Linked DNA regions of Anolis sagrei. The protein of the gene in region 2 interacts with the protein of the main gene of each other region in a pairwise test. Links are inferred from orthologs where the notes say so. Each region holds a gene or a part of one and is shown on either strand. Other genes may lie near its edges.

Evidence for each region. The genes of interacting proteins can lie anywhere in the genome.
Region 1: the proteins of ARHGEF11 (region 2) and PLXNB2 interact in a two-hybrid assay, tested with the Homo sapiens proteins (2 studies listed by BioGRID). The link is inferred for Anolis sagrei from reciprocal best matches to the Homo sapiens genes ARHGEF11 and PLXNB2.

The regions. Positions count from the first base shown.
Region 1 is NC_090025.1:125,303,223-125,310,370, forward strand, and holds the start of PLXNB2 (plexin-B2), read right to left. Parts: upstream 3,038-7,148; 5' UTR 2,767-3,037; intron 1-2,766.
Region 2 is NC_090032.1:11,724,127-11,731,273, reverse strand, and holds the start of ARHGEF11 (rho guanine nucleotide exchange factor 11), read right to left. Parts: upstream 3,067-7,147; 5' UTR 1,884-3,066; coding exon 1,849-1,883; intron 1-1,848. UniProt on the Homo sapiens protein: May play a role in the regulation of RhoA GTPase by guanine nucleotide-binding alpha-12 (GNA12) and alpha-13 (GNA13). Acts as guanine nucleotide exchange factor (GEF) for RhoA GTPase and may act as GTPase-activating protein (GAP) for GNA12 and GNA13.

The DNA of each region.
Region 1 (7,148 bases), on a different chromosome or scaffold from region 2:
AAAACAAATGGGTTGTGAGTGCTTGGGTTTTAATCATCTGAATGGTGCATGGGCAATTATGAAACTCTTGAGGATACAGTCATAGCGTGGTATACAAAACTCAAGTCCATATTTCACAATCCTGGTCCTAAAAGAGGGCATTTTTGGCACACAGACACAAACTTAAAGATCACATTTCCCCAACAGTTCTATATTTTAAAAGCCGGGTACTAAAAGGAGGTGGGGGTGGCATTTCTGTCTATCTGCCTGCCTCTCTGCCACATACATACATACAAACTTTAAAAACTGATCTCTTGCCAACACCACTGTATTTCAGAAACCTGGTACTAAAAGGAGGTTGGGTGGCATTTATGTCTAACTGCCTGCCTCTCCAACACATACATACACACACAAACTTAAAAGATGATCTCTTGCCAACACTTATGTATTTCAGAAGCCTGGTACTAAAAGGAGGTGGGGGTAGCATTTTTGTCAATCTGCCTGCCTCTCTGGCACACGCACACACACACACACACAAACTTAAAAGATAATCTCTTGCCAACACTTCTATATTTCAGAAGCCTGGTATTCAAAGGAGGTGGGGTGGCATTTTTGTCTATCTGTCTGCCTCTCTGGAACACAGACACTAACTTAAAGGATGATCTCTCTCCAACACTTCTGCATTTGAGATGGTACTAAAAGGGGATGATAGCATTTTTGCCAACTTGTCTGTCTCAAGACTCACTAACTGAAAGAGGATTCCCTTCCCAAAACACTTCAAAAAAGCCTGGTATTAGAAAGGAGAGGGTGCCCTTTTTGCCTGTCTCTCTCCCATGCCCCACCTTCAAGGCAGGATCTTTCCTTAACATTGCTCAAACCAGAAAAGCTCCACTAGTGTCTTGTCAAAGGCTTTTATGGCCAGAATCACTGGATTGCTGTGAGTTTTCTGGGCTGTATGGCCATGTTCCAGAAGCATTCTCTCCTGACGCTTTGCCCTTCATCTATGGCAGGCATCCTCAGAGGTTGTGAAGTCTGTTGGAAACTAGGCAAGGGAGGTTTATATATCTAGGGACAGTCCAGAGTGAGAGAAAAAACTCTTGTCTGTTGGAGGCAAGTGTGAATGTTGCAATTAATCACCTTGATTGCCATTGAAAGCCTTTGCAGCTCCAAAGCCTGACTGATTCCTGTCTGAGGGAATCCTCTGTTGGGAGGTGTTAGCTGGCCCTGATTATTTCATGTCTGGAATTCCCCTGCTCAGGGCCAGCTAATACCTCCCAATAATGGATTCCCACAGGCAGGAATCAGTCAGGCTTTGAAGCTGCAAAGGCCATTAAATGCCAATCAAAGTGGCCAACTGTAACATTCACACTTCCAACAGACAAGAGTTCTTTCTCCCACCCAGGACATTCCACAGATATATAAACCTCCCTTGCCTAGTTTCCAACAGACTTCACAACCTCTGAAGATGCCTGCCATAGATGAAGGGCAAAGTGTCAGGAGAGAATGCTTCTGGAACATGGCCATATATCTGTGGAATGCCTAGGGTGGGAGAAAGAACTCTTGTCTGTTGGAAGTGTGAATGTTACAATTGGCCGGCTTGATTGGCATTTAATGGCATTTGTACCTTCAAAGACTGGATGATTCCTGCCTGAGGGAATCTATTGTTGGGAGGTGTTAGATGGCCCTGAACAGGGGAATTCCAGACATGAAACAATCAGGGCCAGCTAACACCTCCCAACAAAGGATTCCCTCAGGCAGGAATCAGTCAGGCTTTGAAGCTGCAAAGCCTTTCAATACCAATCAAGGTGATTAATTGCAACATTCACACTTGCTTCCAACAGACAACAGTTCTTTCTCTCACTCTGGACCAGGGGAATTCCAGACATGAAACAATCAGGGCCAGCTAACACAGTGAAATATGTGTATCTCTATACCTCTTTTGTTGGGAGGTGTTAGCTGGCCCTGAACAGGGGAATTCCAGACATGAAACGATCAGGGCCAGCTAACACCTCCCAACAAAAGAGGTGTATAGATACACATACTTCACTTGCCTAGTTTCCAACAGACCTCACAACCTCTGAGGATGCCTGCCATAGATGTGGATGAAACGTCAGGAGAGAATGCGTCTGGAACATAGCCATACAGCCCGGAAAACTCACAGCAACCCACCAGTGTCGATTGTAGACAGATAATAAAAGATCAGAAATAAAAAATGATACTAGCTCGATCAGAAGAGGGGGGAAAACCAGACAACAATCCATGGGAAAGTTTCACATTTTGCAAACGCCGGCTGCTAAGTAACGCTCGCCAACACAGGCTTTGGTTCAGCCCAAGAGAGAGAGAGAGGCAAAGGGCTCTCTTTTCCTTTTTTTTTTTTTTTTTCTTTCACCCTTAATGGAAACCATCTGCTCTTGCAAACAAGGAAGAAGACATTCCGATTTGGTTGGCTGTGGAGGGAGAGATAGAGGGGAAAGAGGGAGGGGGAAAGCCGGGGAAGGAGGAGAGGAAGCCAGGGAGAGAAAAGTGGGGAATCCGCTCCCAAACGAGGCGAGCAGTGGCCACAACTTCGGGCCTCCTTCCAGAGAGCAAGAAGGGACTCACTCGGGGGCAACTCCCTCGCTCGCCATTTGCTGGAAGTCGCCCTCCGCAAGCCCTACAAGGGGGGGGGGGCTGTTTGTATGTTGGGGAGGGGGGCACGCCTTCGTCCCCTTCCAAAAAGCCTTTCAACAGGTGGGAAGAGAGGCGGGCGAAGGGAAGAAGGAAGAGAGAAGCGGGAGGGAAACTTACCCAAGTTGAGGGGCAGGGAGGGGGCGCCTTTGTGTGCTGCCTCAGCCTCAGCCGCCTCTCCTCCTCCTCCTCTTCCTCCTTGTGTCTCTCCTCAGCCGAGCATCCGCCCCCGGAGAAGGAGGCAAGGCGCGCCGGCCAGCACCGCCGCCGAAGCGCTGTCCATATCCAAGAGGAGCCGCAGGGAGAGCAGGAACCGCGGCGGCGGAGAGGAGGAGAGGGAAGGCTCAGACTGAAGGAAGGAGGGAAGAGGAGGAGGAGGAGGAGGGAAGGCACGCCGCCCAGCCCGCGTTGGGCGCATCACATGACGGCTCGGCCCGCCTCTCTCCCCATTCTCTCTCTCTCTCTCTCTCTGCTGCCAGCCCTGCCCCGAGAAGGAAGGAAGGAAAAAAGGCGGGCCCAGGCGCACCTGTAGCCTCGCCGCCACAAAGGCAGCGCTCGGAGCGGACAAACACGCCTCCTCCCTGCCTTCGCCCTCCTCCTCCTTCCACCTCAGAAAGACCTTTGTCCCCAACGCTTGCAAGGCGCTCTCCTTTGCCTCACACCGCACCGTTTCGTTTCCCCTCGCCTGACGTGGAAAGGGAGAGAGGGACAATGGGGTCCTGAGGCCAAGCAGGAGCCTCAGAAACCGACCAAAAGACCTGTGTGCCCACACTGTGACAGTGACGTTATGATGCTAAGTGGTTAGCCCTATGCAGAGCCCACTTTCTCTCCCTTTAAGACACAACCTGCGAACCCCACCTCCTCCAAGGTGAACTGAACCGCCTGAACTGCGCTTTACAGGCCAATGGGTACTCCAAAACAGGCATCAGAAGAGCTGCAAGACCAAGAACAAGCCACCATTAGGTTTGTTTTTTTGTCGTGTAAGGAGCGACTTGACAAACTGCAAGTCACTTCTGGTGTGAGAGAATGGGCCATCTGCAAGGACGTTGCCCAGGGGAGGACCGGATGTTTTGCCACCCTTGTGGGAAGCTTCTCTCATGTCCCCACATGAGGAGCTGGAGCTGATAGAGGGAGCTCATCTGTGCTGTCCCCAGATTTGAACCTGCGACTTGTCAATCTTCAGTCCTGCCACCAGGGGCTTCCACCAATGGGTGATAGTATGATAGCTGGTCCGGAAGCTCCGAAGCAGGCATATAGCGGGGGGGGGGGGGGGGCTTTGGGGGCTTCACCCCCCCCCCCAAAATTCTCATGGTGGTCTGTGAAAAGGCCTTACTGGTACATTATTTAAACTGTTATGTTTATTCATATCATGATCTGATCACCATGCTCAATATATCTCATATGCATGGGGGCATTGGGGTAACAAAACAAAAGCTTTGCTAGGGTAGACCCTCTTTCACTCAGACTCAGCCCCCCCCCCCCCGAATCAAAATCCTGGCTACGGGCCTGCTCCGAAGGTTACACTGTTTCCACTTCGGGAGTACTGTTTGCGCAATGCAGAACGGAACACAGATATTATAGAAGGAATGTAAGAGTTCTTTCATGGTTAAACCCTTACCCAAACCCTAACCCTTGCCCTAAACCTTACCCTAACCCAAACCCTAATCCTAACCCAAAACCTAACCCCTAACCCTAATCGTAACCCTACCCCAAACCCTAACCCCAAACCTTATCCTAACCCTCTCCTCCTTTCTCTCTGGACCACGTGGTCTCTTCCCTTATTCACAACCTAAGTCAATGTTTCTCAACCTTCCTAATGCCACAACCCCTTAATACAGCTCCTGATGTTGTGGTGGCCCCCAACCATAAAATTATTTTCATTGCTACTTCATAACTGTAATATTGCGAGTGTTAAGAATTGTAATATATTTTCATTCAGTGGACCAAATTTTGCACAAATACATCCAAATCTGAATACTGGTTTGGTTGGGGGGATTGATTTTGTCATTTGGGAGTTGTACTTGCTGAGATATACAGTTCAGCTACAATCAAAGAGCATTCTGAACTCCACTAACGATGAAACTGAACCAATCTTGACACACTGAACTCCCATGGCCAACAGAAAACATTGGAAGGGTTTGGTGGGCATTGATCTTGAGTTTTGAAGATGTAGTTCACCTACATCCAGAAAGCACTGCAGACTCAAACAATGATGGCTGTGCACCAAATATATTCAGTTGAATATCAAAACATATTCAAAGTTAAAAACCACAGCACCCTCTGACTAATAATAATTCACAAGGAAATGTAGACCATCTTACTTTTCTTACATCTTACACAGCACCATCTAACTAGATCTTAAACACTTTAATCTTTAAATGCCTGTCTGAATAAAATGGTTTAGCCTGCAACCAGAAGGACAGCAGAGAGAGGGCCCTTCTGGCTTCCCTGGGAAGAAGGGAGTTCCAGTGTCAAAGGCCAGCCACCGAGAAGGAAAGACCACTCTCTCGTTCCCATCAATTGAGCTTGAGATGGAGGTGGGATCAAGAAAGGGGCCTCTTCTGAAGATCTCAGGGCCGAAGGAGGTGGGTACAAGGGGATGCGGTCAGCCAGATATCCTGGACCCGAACCGCCTAGGCGTTTAAAGGTCATAACTAGTACTTTAAATTGAGCCTGGTAATAGACTGGCAGCCAGTGGAGCTGCTGCAACAGAAGATCACAACATCTTCTCTAATCACCTCCATTCACATCTATTTCGAGCATAAGTTGACCAGTGTACCATTGTGCAACCATGTTCATCCCTCACATTATACACCATACAGAATGAGTCAGATCATCAGGTGGGAGGACAACCAAGAGGTCTCTTCCATCCCCACAGGTACCATATTGTCATGGCACCTGTTCTGCGCATCACGTGTCCTGCAAAACGATGTTTGAATTGGGCAACGTAGAGGATCTTTCACTTTTGATATTTTTTGAACATCCTCATTGTGCAGTCCATGTTCTCTCTGAGTTCAATGAGACATCCCAATGAGCCATTTTTTGCGGGTGGCATGTGTGACCAATAGTTGTTCTGAGAGAGCCTTCGTCATTGTCCATGTCTCTGCACCATAGCATGGGGCAGTAGCATGATCGAACAATTGAGCTCATACAGATGTACTTTCAATTGAGTCCATAGCAGTTTTAATGGAATTGTAAGCAACCCATCCTGCTTTCCTGTGTCTGTTCCACTCCGGCTTCAGTCCATATCTTGATGTTAACAGCTTTCCGAGGTAGACATATTCTACATTTTCGAGGTTGACGCCATCTACTGTCATTGCAGCAGCATCTGCGAAGTTGTTTCAGAATACCTTTGTCTCTTGTGTGTTCATCTTTAATTCAGTTGACCGACTTCTGCTACAAAGCTCGCTAAACATGCTGCAGGCTTCTGAATCTTCTGTATGCATGATTAAAACTATGTCGTTGATGAAGCACATGATATTAAGCCTGTGCCCATCGATGAGTATACTTTTGTTCAACCAATTACAGCCTCTTTTTACACTTTCCAGAGCAGCAGGAAAAAGGTTGGGATCACCTTGGCATACACCTTTTTCTACAGATATAACAACTTCTTGTTTGAAATGCATTAGTGTTGTTGTACATTCACTATAGCATGCTTGGATGATGTTGATGCACTCTGCTTGTACTCCTTGCTGCTTCAGATCTGTATCCAAATCTAATTCGCACCTCACTTTTCAAAACCCTGAAACAAAAAAAGAGAGCATTTGCTGGTGAATTGACTTGTGTAGTGGCAAAAGTTCCCTCTTTGAAATTTGCCCCCCCCCCCCCCCCCAAGGTGTTCATTACAGTGGCTGCCTGCTTAGAATTGCTTCTTTAAAAACAAAAAGTGTTAAAACAACAAAGCTTCCATCAATGGGGGGAAAAACTCTTGATGTGCACCTCTGCTGTAGAATAGACATGGGTATCTGGAATGTGGCCTTCAAACTGGAAAAACAATTCAAATTAATGGGCAAGCACTAAAGAAGGCCACCCAATCTAAATACCTAGGGTCACTGGTCTCCACAGACATACGGTCATGAATAAATGCAGCCTGCTCCATATGGCAGCAAACTACTAGCATTCTGTGTGACACAAAAATGCCTGAACAACTCAAGGCTAAGAGGCACTTTAAGAGGCCAGCAACAAAGAAACATGAACAAGCCCTTAACACAATGGAAATGGAAATGTTGAGATGGACACTTGGCTTGACACTTCTTAACCATGTGCCAAATGAGGACATCAGTCAAAGACTAGGAATAAAAGCAATTTGCAAGAAAATGCAAGAAGCAAGACTATGGTAGTATGGCCATGTCATGATATTAGAACCAGCACCAGTAGCACAAACAGCACTATATTTGGAGATTGTGGAACGATGACCACGTGGACAGCCAAAGAAAAGATGGATAGACACTATCAACAAAGGCATGCGTACTGCCAACCTGAGACCGGAAGATGCCCAAAAC
Region 2 (7,147 bases):
ATTCAAGGAGCTCATCCGTGCTCTCCCCAGATTTGAACCAGCCGGGTTTAACCCACTGTGCCATCGGGGGCTCCTTAATGGGCCAGCTAACACCTCCCAACAGAGGATTCCCTCAAGCAGTAGCCAGCCAGGCTTTGAAGCTGCAAGGCCATTCAATGCTAATCAAAGTGATCAATTGCAGCATTCACACTTACCTCAATCAGACAAGAGTTCTTTCTCCCACTCTGGACATTTTTCCAAATCTCACTTGCCTAGTTTCCAACAGACCCTTAAACCTCTGAGGATACCTGCCATAGATGTGGGAGAAACATCAGGAGAGAATGCTTCTGGAACATGGCCACACAGCCCGGAAAAGTCACAACAACCCAGTGATTCCAGCCATGAAAACTTTGACAACTCAAGAAAAAACCGAAAGGAAAAAGTGACAAGTGGCACGGAGTTCAATTACTTCATGACATCTTTCCGTGTGGAACGGACCCAAAAAAAGTATTTCTCAGAGAAAGAGGGAGAGACAAGGGACGCCAAGTCGTATGACCATTACCAATGCCTTCCTTGAGCAAAGGCCAAAAAACCTGGACATCGCCTCCGCATATACACACATAGGCCGACGCTGGCCCATTCATCCATTGGCCAAAGAAACCGAGGAAAGAAAGACAATGTGTTGTCGAAGGCTTTTCATGGCCGGAATCACTAGGTTGCTGTGAGTTTTCCGGGCTGTCTGGCCATGTTCCAGAAGCACTCTCTCCTGACGTTTCACCCACATCTATGGCAGGCATCCTCAGACGTTATGGGTAGGAGGAAGAATTCTTGTCTTTTTGAGGCAAGTGTGAATGCTGCAACTGATCACCTTGATTAGCAATGAATGGCTTTGCAGCTTCAAAGCCTGGCTGGTTACTGCTTAGGGGAATCCTTTGTAGGGAGGTGTTAGCTGGCTCATTAAATGCTAATCAAGATGACAAATTGCAACAGGGGAATTCCAGGCAAGAAACAATCAGGGCCAGCTAACACCTCCCAACAAAGGATTCCCCACAAAATCACAAGTCGAACACTTCCCAAGCGTCTAGGACTGTATGATGTATTTACAAATGATGTGTGGAGATCCAAGTCAGGTGGCTTTTTGCAGTTGACAGATTGTGGTGATATTATTATTATTATGGGACATGGCTGTACAGAAAACTCACAGCAACCCAGTGATTCTGGCCAGGAATGCCTTCAACAACAGACCTCACAGCCTCTGAGGATGCCTGCCATAGATGTAGGTGGAACGTCAGGAGAGAATGCTTCTGGGACATGGCTGTACAGCCCGGAAAACTCACAGCAACCCAGCGATTCGGGCCATGAAAGCCTTCAACAACAGACCTCACAGCCTCTGAGGATGCCTGCCATAGATGTGGGAGAAACATCAGGAAAGAATGCTTCTGGGACATGGCTGTACAGCCCAGAAAACTTACAGCAACCCAATGATTCTGGGCAGGAAGGCCTTCAACAACAGACCTCACAGCCTCTGAGGATGCCTGTCATAGATGTGGGAGAAACATCAGGAGAGAATGCTTCTGGGACATGGCTGTACAGCCTGGAAAACTCACAGCAACCCAGTGATTCCGGCCAGGAATGCCTTCAACAACAGACCTCACAGCCTCTGAGGATGCCTGCCATAGATGTAGGTGGAACGTCAGGAGAGGATGCCTGCCATAGATGTGGATGAAACATCAGGAGAGAATGCTTCTGGGACATGGCTGTACAGCCCGGAAAACTCACAGCAAACCAGTGATTCCGGCCATGAAAGCCTACAACAACAAACCATTTTTGGTAAGCAAAGGAAGAGCTAAACCTGTCTATTTGACATACCTGTCCAATGCAGTCTGAGGTGGCCGCATGTTCATGGTTTGTAGTCAAATCCAGAAGGCCGGGGTTGGCCAGCGGTGGATCCTTTGGCTGCTTGCACGCCTTTTTCCTTTGCGCAGATGCGGATTTTTATTACCAATCCTAACCACAAAGGAGGAAAACTAGTCTCTTGCAGTCAAGACGGCGGAGCCTTTGAGTCCATCCTTATATCCATGCAGCGTTCCAGGCTTTGGGAAAGTGGTTGCCCCAAAAAATAAAATAAAAAATACAAATAACTTTGCAAACCTTGTCCAAGGTTATCAATTCTGGGCCTTGGGGAAGTGGTTGCCCCCAAAAATAAAAATACAAACAACTCTGCAAACTTTGTCCAAGGTTATAAATACTACCCGGTGGAATAAAGACGCGTTCCCGTCCAAAACATTAAAGTCATAGGGATCAAAACATCCTAATAATCCAGTTTTCCCAGCTGTCCTTCCTGTTGGAAGAGGGAAGGGGGGACAATGGAAAAGATCTGTATTCCTGGGTCTCTCTCTGTGTTTGTGTGTCTTCAGGTTGCCAAAAAGATGCCCAATTTCACTCTCAAGCAGCCTCCCTTGTCCTTCCTTTGGGCTAATAAATAAAAAGCCATGCAACAAATCACTCCCAAGGAAAGAAAAGCAAAATACACATCATAATAATCATCATAATATTAATATTAATAATAATAAGGTAATTGCAAACTTCTTTTCCTGCCAAGGCAGGTACAGGATAGAGGACTAAGGGGAATCAATGAAGGGCTGAGCAGAGGACAGTGATACCCCCTCCTCCTCCTCTTCTTCTTCTTCTTCCAAAGCCCCAAGATGTCCTCCAAAGCGGTGGGTCCTTCCCCTTCTTCTTCTCCTCCTCCTCCTCTTGCTCCAGCTTGGCTTCGGGGTCCGAGGAAGAAGAAGGTCCTCCTTCTTCACCTTCCTCCTCCTCCTTTTCCCCTTCCCCAGTGAGGGAAATCCAAGGAGAGGCCTAGCGGGAGCGGCGAAGCCCCGGCCTCGCGTAGGGAGGCTCCCCGACCTTCCTCGGCTCCGGGAGGGGAAGCAGCACCGGTCTGGGAAAGGAGAGCCGAACCCGCAAGTGGCTTGGCTCCTAGGCCCGCCTGCCTGCCTGTTTTGCCTGCCCTTCGGTCCTTCTCCTCTCCTTCCTCCTCTTCCTCCTCCTTCTTCCCAGATAATCCCTCCCACAGCCGCCCTCCTCCTCCTCCTCTTTTCCTCCTCCTCCTCCTCCTCCCGCCCTCAGGAAGAGCTTCCCTGGCTCTGCAGCAGCAGCAGGTGGGAGGGAAGGAAGGGAGGAAGGAAGGAAGGAAGGAAGAGGGAGGCATCCCCACCATCATCCTCATCATCACCATCATCATCACCTTCATAAGGCATTTGCTGCCCTTCTCCTTTGCCTTCTCAACCCCCCATTTGAATGTATTAGTTGCCATCCTCCTCCTCATCAAGCCCCTGGAAGGTTCAGTATTGGTTGCCATCATCCTCATCATCAAACCCCTTGAATGATTCCTTCATGGCCATCTTCACCACCATCATCCTCATCATCAAACCTCTTCATACCATCATCATCATCATTATTATCATTATCAAGCCCCTTGAATGAGAACTTCATGGCCATCTTCACCACCATCCTCCTCCTCATCAAACCTCTTCGTACCACCATCATCATTATCATCTTCACCACCATCCTCCTCCTCATCAAACCTCTTCGTACCACCATCATCATTATCATCTTCACCACCATCCTCCTCCTCATCAAACCTCTTCGTACCACCATCATCATTATCATCATCATCATCATCATCAAGCCCCTTGAATGAGAATTCCATGGCCATCTTCACCACCATCATCCTCATCATCAAACCTCTTCGTACCATCATCATCATTATCATCATCATCATCATCAAGCCCCTTGAATGAGAACTTCATGGCCATCTTCACCTCCATCATCCTCATCAAACCTCTTCGTACCATCATCATCATTATTATCATCATCAAACCCCTTCGTACCATCATCATCATTATTATCATCATCAAGCCCCTTGAATGAGAACTTCATGGCCATCTTCACCACCATCATCCCCATCATCAAACCTCTTCGTACCATCATCATCATTATCATCATCATGAAGCCCCTTGAATGAGAACTTCATGGCCATGTTTACCACCATCATCCTTATCATCAAACCCCTTGAATGCATTAGCTACCATCCTCACCACCACCATCATCCTCATCATCAAACCCCTTGAATGCATTAGCTACCATCCTCACCATCACCATCATCCTCATCATCAAGCCCCTTGAATGATTCCTTCATGGCCATCTTCACCACCATCATCCTCATCATCAAACCTCTTCATACCATCATCATCATCATCATTATGATCATCATCAAGCCCCTTGAATGAGAACTTCATGACCATCTTCACCACCATCATCCTCATCATCAAACCCCTTTGTACCATCATCATCATTATTATCATCATCAAGTCCCTTGAATGATTCCTTCATGGCCATCTTCACCACTATCAGCCTCATCATCAAACCCTTTGAATGTATTAGCTACCATCCTCACCACCACCATCATCCTCATCATCAAACCCCTTGAATGATTCCTTCATGGCCATCTTCACCACCATCATCCCCATCATCAAACCTCTTCGTACCATCATCATCATTATCATCATCATCAAGCCTCTTGAATGAGAACTTCATGGCCATCTTCACCACTATCAGCATCATCATCAAACCCCTTGAATGTATTAGCTACCATCCTCACCATCACCATCATCCTCATCATCATATCCCTTGAATGATTCCTTCATGGCCATCTTCACCACCATCATCCCCATCATCAAACCTCTTCGTACCATCATCATCATTATCATCATCATCAATCCCCTTGAATGAGAACTTCATGGCCATCTTCACCACCATCATCCCCATCATCAAACCTCTTCGTACCATCATCATCATTATCATCATCATCATCAAGCCCCTTGAATGAGAACTTCATGGCCACCTTCACCACCATCATCCCCATCATCAAACCTCTTCGTACCATCATCATTATTATCATCATCATCAAGCCCCTTGAATGAGAACTTCATGGCCATCTTCACCACCATCATCCCCATCATCAAACCTCTTCGTACCATCATCATCATTATCATCATCATCAATCCCCTTGAATGAGAACTTCATGGCCATCTTCACCACCATCATCCCCATCATCAAACCTCTTCGTACCATCATCATCATTATCATCATCATCATCAAGCCCCTTGAATGAGAACTTCATGGCCACCTTCACCACCATCATCCCCATCATCAAACCTCTTCGTACCATCATCATTATTATCATCATCATCAAGCCCCTTGAATGAGAACTTCATGGCCACCTTCACCACCATCATCCCCATCATCAAACCTCTTCGTACCATCATCATCATTATTATCATCATCAAGCCCCTTCATGGCCATCTTCACCACCATCATCCTCATCATCAAACCCCTTGGTGCCATCCTCATCGTCATCATTATCATCATCATCAAGGCCCTTGAATGAGAACTTCATGGCCATCTTCACCACCATCATCCTCATCATCAAACCCCTTCGTACCATCATCATCAGTATCATCATCATCATCAAGCCCCTTGAATGAAACTTCATGGCCATCTTCACCACTATCAGCCTCATCATCAAACCTCTTCGTACCATCATCATCATTATCATCATCATCAAGCCCCTTGAATGATTCCTTCATGGCCATCTTCACCACCATCATCCTCATCATCAAACCCCTTCGTACCATCATCATCAGTATCATCATCATCATCAAGCCCCTTGAATGAAACTTCATGGCCATCTTCACCACTATCAGCCTCATCATCAAACCTCTTCGTACCATCATCATCATTATCATTATCATCATCATCAAGCCCCTTGAATGATTCCTTCATGGCCATCTTCACCACCATCATCCTCATGATCAAAACACCTTGGAGCCACACCCCCTCCCCCCACCATCATCATCAAGCCCCTAGAATGAGAACTTCATGGCCATCTTCGCCACCATCATCCTTATCATCAAACCCCTTGGTGCCATCCTCATCGTCATCATTATCATCATCATCAAGGCCCTTGAATGATTCCTTCATGGCCATCTTCACCACCATCATCCTCATAATCAAACCCCTTCGTACCATCATCATCATTATTATCATCATCGAGCCCCTTGAATGAGAACGTCATGGCTATCTTCACTACCATGATCCTCATCATCAAACCCCTTGAATGCATTAGCTACCAACCCCACCACCACCATCATCCTCATGATCCCCTTCATACCACCATCATCATTATCATCATCATCATCATCAAGCCCCTTGAATGAGAATTCCATGGCCATCTTCACCACCATCATCCTCATCATCAAACCCCTTGAATTATTCCTTCATGGTCATCTTCACCACCATCACCCTCCTCATCAAACCTCTTCGTACCATCATTATCATTATCATCATCATCATCATCAAATCTCTTCGTACCATCATCATTATTATCATCATCAAGCCCCTTGAATGATTCCTTCATGGTATCTTCACCACCATCCTCCTCCTCATCAAACCTCTTCGTACCATCATCATCATTATCATCATCATCAAGCCCCTTGAATGAGAACTTCATGGCCATCTTCACCACTCTCAGCCTCATCATCAAACCCCTTGAATGTATTAGCTACCATCCTCACCACCACCATCATTCTCATCATCAAACCCCTTGAATGATTCCTTCATGGCCATCTTCACCACCATCATCCCCATCATCAAACCTCTTCGTACCATCATCATCATTATCATCATCATCAAGCCCCTTGAATGAGAACTTCATGGCCATCTTCACCACCATCAAACCTCTTCGTACCATCATCATCATTATCATCATCATCAAGCCCCTTGAATGAGAACTTCATGGCCATCTTCACCACCATCATCCCCATCATCAAACCTCTTCGTACCATCATCATCATTATCATCATCATCAAGCCCCTTGAATGAGAACTTCATGGCCATCTTCACCACTATCAGCCTCATCATCAAACCCCTTGAATGTATTAGCTACCATCCTCACCATCACCATCATCCTCATCATCAAGCCCCTTGAATGATTCCTTCATGGCCATCTTCACTGCCATCATTCTCATCATCAAACCCCTTGGTGCCATCCCCACCACCACCATTATCATCATCATAATCAATCCCCTTGAATGATTCCTTC